Cricetulus griseus: one gene and its partner. The protein of the gene in region 2 binds, or shares a complex with, the protein of the main gene of each other region. Links are inferred from orthologs where the notes say so. Each region holds a gene or a part of one and is shown on either strand. Other genes may lie near its edges.

Evidence for each region. The genes of interacting proteins can lie anywhere in the genome.
Region 1: Lin54 (region 2) and Tfdp2 share a complex: the UniProt entries of both Homo sapiens proteins name them as parts of the DREAM complex. The link is inferred for Cricetulus griseus from reciprocal best matches to the Homo sapiens genes LIN54 and TFDP2.

Annotation. Positions count from the first base shown.
Region 1 is NC_048597.1:204,909,686-204,912,983, reverse strand, and holds part of Tfdp2 (transcription factor Dp-2), read right to left. Parts: intron 3,272-3,298; coding exon 3,088-3,271; 3' UTR 1-3,087. UniProt on the Homo sapiens protein: Can stimulate E2F-dependent transcription.
Region 2 is NW_023276807.1:162,482,521-162,486,173, reverse strand, and holds part of Lin54 (protein lin-54 homolog), read left to right. Parts: coding exon 1-127; intron 128-2,172; coding exon 2,173-2,374; 3' UTR 2,375-3,653. UniProt on the Homo sapiens protein: Component of the DREAM complex, a multiprotein complex that can both act as a transcription activator or repressor depending on the context. In G0 phase, the complex binds to more than 800 promoters and is required for repression of E2F target genes.

The DNA of each region.
Region 1 (3,298 bases), on a different chromosome or scaffold from region 2:
TCAGTTTAGATAGAAATGGCAGAATGAGAAGGCCTGCAGGGACTCAGTGGGCCACTTCTTCATCTTGATTGTCTGATAGGGATATTCTTTCTGAGGACAGACTGGGAATTATCTTCCAAAAATTATCGATTGAGTACTGCTACTGCTTTGATTATATTCTGTTAACAGGAGGAGTTCCTCATTCATTCTGGCAAAATGGCAGATTTTCCTCCCTCCCACTTTAAAAGAATCAAGAAAGGGGCTGGAGAGATGGCTCAGCGGATGGGAGCATTGGCTGTTCTTCCAGAGGTCCTGAGTTCGGTTCCTGGCAACCACATGGTGACTCACAGCCACCTTAAGTGAGATCTGGTGCCCTCTGCTGGCATGCAGGCAGAAGACTGTATACATAATAAATAAAGTCTTTAAAAAAAAAAAAAGAATCAAGAAAGATGCAGAGCATGTGGTCATTGGCCTGTTTTCTGGGGACCTTTCAGAGGGAGGAGGATTCTGTTGAGTCCCTTTCTTCCTATGTAAGGCACAATAAATGCAAACACTGAACAGACTTCCAGTGGGGGACAGGCAAAGGGAGCCTGCTAAGCACCGACTGCTGCACAGCTGTGTAGCTGGTGGAACTGTTCCTCACACGGAGAGTGAGAACTGACAATAGTGTTATACACATGAGAAATTGAACCTCAATAGAGAAAAGCCTCTTGACACATTAAGCAGTGTGCCCAGCACCTCTGGGGGAGGGTAACAGCTGTGTGCAAGGAACCTGTGTACCCCACCTACAAAGAAGCCAGATGCTATGACCACAATTTAACTCCTCCCCCTTCCATTCCTGTACTATGATTTGGTGTTTAAGGGCGATAAAGAAGACCAGAGTTTATCCTTTGCAACATCTCAATTTAGGCTTTCCTTTCTTTACTGCATTATGGTCTCATTTTGTAGCTGTGGCTGGTTTCAAACCTCTGATGATTCCTTTGCCTGTCTAGGATCACAAGTAATCCTCTTGGTTCAGTGTTAAGCCAGCAGCACCTGATGACACAGGGGTAACTAGGATGGCCAGGGCGAGGCACACAAAGATTGAGTCTTTGGTTGCCCCACTTCAGACAAGGATTTCACGAAGCCCAGGCTGTCCTTGAACTCAGTATGTAGCCAAGGTTGACTACCTTCCTGCCTCCATTTCCCAAATGCTGGGGTTAGAGGCATACAACATGTCCAGTGTGATTGCCCCTTTCAAGCCCAGCATACAGCAGCAGGGATGAGACAATGGGGGAAAGTTCCTTGAGAACTCTTGCAAGGATTTAGCTGCCTGGCAAAAGAAATGGGTGTAATGTGTGCATTTGCTTTAAGTTCTGAAACATCTTGGGACCAGTAGGCCAGTATTTTGAAAACTAAAAAAGCAACTGTTGCCCTTGATCTCTCCAGGTCTCTGCTAGGCTCCCTTAAGTACAGAGACAGAAATGAGGCACTAACGGGAGGTAGCCCCTGTTGCATATGGACCACTTTGCTCTGACAGCCTAAGATGTGTGTTTTAGAACTCATGCCAACACAACCTGCCAGAACCTTTGTGCCCCTTGCACACTCAGGTTTGCACTACAGCTTCCTTCTGATACAATGAGTCTCCTCTCAAAGGAACCTAAGCTGTATCTGCACACTCGTATTTTCACGCTAACGGCCTCACAACATTTAAGTCAACCAAAGCTTTTGCTTCCAGCTCAAGCTTCCCCCATAGGACTAAAAAGAGCAGCATTTTGGACTGAGCTTGGTACAGGATCCACAGACACCAGATATACAGGATCAGGACAAACACATGCGACTTCAACTGGCTTCAGAATTGATTCCATTCCCTGCCCTCTTTCAAGGCCTTAATGTGTTAGTTAAGTTGGGTTTGGCTTGGCAGTGGATGTCCCGTGCTCCCCTACTGAGAGAAGCAGAAATCACAGACACACTGCAGTAGTTTCATGGCAACAACTTTGGCTTTGTATCCACGAATGACATGCCACGATAGCACAGATGCAGTCAACTGGAGGGTTCAAGATTTTAACAAAAACACTGAATATTGAGTTAGTTTGAAATGCAATTTACCCAGGAATAAATCTGATAAGATCATTTTGATAATTAAAATATGAAAAAGATAACATGTATAAGAGAACAATGATGTTCATATTCTTGAAATAAAGACAAAAGTAATGACATTTGGTTCATTTTCACAAATTGCACACGGGTAAAATCATACAGTACTGCAGACAGCTATGGACAAGCAATTTGGTCAAAGAATTTGCTTCTTTGTTCAACTGTAAATTCAAAAGCTGTATGAAACGCATAGCTTTGATTAAAACTGTAAATACAGTTTCCTTCTCAGTAAAACTCCAAATTTAGAATGCTGGCAAAAGGCAGTGCTGGCGAAGTTTTAATGCACATGGAAATGCTATTCTATTTTGGCTCCCAGAAGTAGCCCTAGAAACTCCTATGCACCAATGCATTGACAAATGGTCACTTCAGTGTTCTGTAAATTATTCTAAATGTCAACTAGGTACTTATAAGGTAGCACTTGCTCCCTTCTAGAAGCTAAGGCAGCAGATGCGCAAAGCACCTCAGCTAGACTTCCGGCTAGCTCAACAGTTCATCTGTGCTCCTCAGGCCACAAGCCTGCAATCTACATCCCTCACTGTACACCCACTGGGACTTTCAAGTTCACTTTTGCCTATAAAAGGCAATCCGACAAGGGAGAAAACCATCATCACTGCATACTCACAGCAATCGCAAGTCTAAATGCTTATACATTGTGGGGTCTTCAAACCCCACCTCCCTGAAAACAAACCTCATTCACTGCCATTCTTCATGGATTATTCCCTCTCTCTCTGCAGAAAGCATGCTTTGTTGACGATGTAACCTACTGCTGTTGCTTAGTTTTCATTCACGCTACATTAACTTTCATTTCAATCATCTCAGCCTTCATGTAATTTGCTTATTGTGTTTCTCTAGTTTTCACTAAACACAAATGCAAACAAAGGCAAAGACTGAAGCAATCATTTCAAAACACAAGAGCTCACACTAAAGACACACATGAGCATCAAAGGTTAAAACATGAGTTTTTTCCTGTCTTTATTCTGGGGAGGAGGAATCTTCCTCCTCATCTTCCTCGTCTTCATCGTTGAATGAACAAGGGGTCTCGCCGCGGGACTCAGAACAGTGAGAGGCCGCACTACTGGACTGGTGACTGTCTGGGGCAGGAAACTGCCCAGTCGCTAAGGCCACTTCAGCATCCAAGCACAACCCTTGGTTTACACTAGCAAGTAAGTTAAAAACATACAGG
Region 2 (3,653 bases):
TGATGCACTTAGCAGATGCAGCTGAAGTGAGGGTCCAGCAACAGACAGCAGCCAAGACCAAGCTGTCCTCTCAGATCTCAGACTTGCTGACGAGGCCAACCCCAGCCCTGAACAGTGGAGGAGGAAAGTGAGTCAGTTCTTCTCAAAGCCTTTTTATCTGTGCCTCAGACGTTCACTTTTAGTAAGGCTTCTTTTTAGGGAGACAATGCTAACTCCAGACTCTCCACTGTTGCCAACCTGAATTTTCCATTTTCCTTCTACCTTACTTACCTTTTAAGTGAGTTGGGAGGGGGGAGAACACTGTCAGATCCTACAATGCACAGAAGTCCTTTAGTTTGCTATGTATATTAACAGGATTTCTGTCTGCTAACTTGGGTAGATGTACTGTGAGAAACTTTTAAGAAAGCCTGGGTTTATTGTGCTTTCAGTGGTGCTCCTCATTTCTTTAGCACTTTTGACTGTGACTAGTCCTGTTCGTGGCCTCCACATTGCACTGTGGTAGTGTAGTCTCCTATTTCCTGCCTCACTAGACTGCAGAGCTCTGGAGTGCAGAAGTTTGACTTAAGTCATGCATTGGTACAGTGGTGGCTGCTGTTAGCTGCTCAGGAGCTGAGGCAGGAATCATTTGGAATTCCAGGCCAGCCTGCACAATAAAGCACTACCCCATCTCAAAACAAAATAAAAAATAAACAACTGAGTATGTTGGTGCACTCCTTTAATCTCAGCACTCAGGAGGCAGAGACAGGTGGATTCAAGGTTGAGTTCGAGACCAGCCTGGTCTACAGAGCAAGTTCCTAGACAGCAAGGGCTACACAGAGAAACCCTGTCTTGAAAAAAGAAATCAGTAAGTAAAAACAAATTAATAAAAATAAGCAAGGGTATTATATCTTAAGAATTATATATAAAATATATAAAGGAATTATATATAAATACATAACTTAATTACCTGAAAAGAATATATGCCTACAAAAGTAGGTAGCCTGTGTTTTCTGTCTGAGTTAATTCCTAGTCTGGAAAAAACACACTCCGTCTCCCGTCTCAGCTTTCTGGGAACTGCATGAAGCATTTCTGTTGCCAGTATTTTTCAAGGTCTGCTGTTAACACAGTAAATTGGACTTGGATTTATTTATATTAGTGTATTATAGATTAATTTGAGAAATTAAGAGACTGAACCTTGTAAATGATCTATTACAGAGGTTCTCAACAAGAAGGTTGTGACCCCTTTGAGGGTCAAATGACCTTTTCACAGGGGTCAAGTTATACCATTCTGCATATCAGATATTTAAATTATAATTCATAACAGTAGCAAGTTACAGTTAACGATGTAGCAACAAAAATAATGTTATGTTCCAGGGTGACCACAGCATGAGGAACTATGTTAAAGTGTCACAGCATTAGGAAAGCTGAGAACAACTGGCTTACAGGGTGTTCTTAGTCCTTCAAGTTGTTAGTTGCCTGAATTAATTAATCTCTCTCAGGCTTTGAAACTACTTGGCTACACTGTAGGACCTTTGTAGAACATGTCTGTTTACTCCTTTGTTATTTATTGTGATGGAATAAGGTGGGGATTTAGTGGGGTTTTTGTTGTTGTTTTGTTTGTTTGAGACAGGGTCTCTATGTAGTCACAGCTGTCCTGAAACTTACTATGTATACCAGGCTGGCCTCAAACTTGAAGAAATCTGTCTGCCTCTGCCTCTCGAGTGCTGGGGTTTAAGGTGTGTGCCACACATCCATCAGGCTTTTGTTCTTTTTAACAATTAATATGAGGGAGTGTGGTAGAACTTTGTTTTCAGTAGTTCTTTTGGTTCCCAGTAGTGTTCATGGAATTCCTCTGTGTGTCAGGAAAGAGGCCCTCAAGCCAGGGCAGCACTCAAAGAGCATTCACACACTGGGAAGATCTGTGTGAAAGAATGCACAGTATAGGTGGAGAGGTACAGATTTTATTGAGCCAGATAGCATTGTCTGGGAAGTAAGTCATGTGTTTTATGTTAAATGTGTTTCCTGATAAATATTTTTAGATGTGCTTACTGAGACCAAACTTGTGTCTTAGAGCTCTTGAGGCTGTGTTTGACTCAAACTGATGTCCCTTTTGCTGGTGCAGCACGAAGGTACCAGTAGAATCCCAGGTCAACTTCATGATCACCTGTGTTTCTCTCTCAAACATCATTTCAGATTGCCATTTACATTTGTAACTAAGGAAGTAGCTGAAGCCACGTGTAACTGCCTCCTTGCCCAGGCAGAGCAGGCAGACAAGAAGGGGAAGTCAAAGGCTGCGGCAGAGCGGATGATACTTGAGGAGTTTGGACGGTGTCTGATGAGCGTCATCAACTCTGCAGGGAAAGCAAAAAGTGACCCTTGTGCCATGCACTGCTAACTCCTGCACAAAAGCTGCACGTGGACTGTACAGAAAACTTAAGGTTCCGGAACACTTGACTTTCTAGAAGATAGTTTAACAATTACTGTATTTTAATTCAGCCCTTGTTTTAAGAGACCTGAAACTATAATATTGAATGAGAAGAATCTTTAAATGAAGAAATTAGTACATTTTAAATCTTAGTTAATTCTGCCTATGTCCCTTCTAAATTTTTTCTTTAAATATTTTTCCTTTATTGTATTACATATTTTTTAATTTGCTTGGGTTTCTTAAGAATTAGATGTTCTGTCCTTCTGATTCCATTGACAAAGTACATTCATAAATTATTGTAATATCATTTATAATGTATGGTGTTGTATGACTTTGTTCAGTAGAAAAAGCCAAAGCAGCTACCCATTCTTTGGCTCCAGACCCAGAGCATTCACAGGTAGAATGTCCACATACCCAGATTCTTAATGAAACATATAACATTTTGTCTAGAAAAACACCATCCTTTTAAAGAAAAATCAGCTTTTTTGGGTGGATTCTGGAATACTATCTGTTGTCTCTGGGAAATCAGAAGGGGAAACAATCCCAATCACACTTTTCAGATATTCAAGTTGTCTTTTCTTTAATGAAAACAAAATATTAAGGGACAGACGGATGGGCAGTGTGTCTCTGTGATGAGGAATGGCTAACATGTTCTGGGATGTCTTTATTTTCTTTGAAGGAGGTGGTATGTTTTACAATAATTGTCAAAGTCATTATGGATAAGTACTTTAAAATGAGAGATGGTGTGAACTGAAGTAAACGTTTTATGGCAAGATAATGTAGGACTCATGAGCATCAAGTACAAAATTTGACTTGGATGGAGAAGCAAGGATACAAAGCTTTGAGATTATGTATGATGAAGTTTTTATCCACACAGTTCTCTGTATCTAGACTTTTGGAACTAAGTTTGAATCAATATGTGTTACCTGATTTATTGAACGGGCCTCCTAGCAGCTTTCACAATTGTCGTGAGCTATCTTCTTATAAAGGCAGTTTAATTCAGCAATGCTAAAGCCAGTGATTTGGTAGGCTGAAGTATGTGTGTTCTCATAATTGCACAAATTAACCTAAATCATTTTCAGTAATTAAAAACTGTATGCTCTTAGGAACCTATTGTAATAGGACTCTTGAGTTTATAACAAGGGAAAACTGTGTTGGAATTGAGGCATTTTGTAAGGTACCTTAATCCTTGCTAACTAATAGCATATGCTTATTACCCTCCTACAAGGATTCTATAGTTGTATGTAGT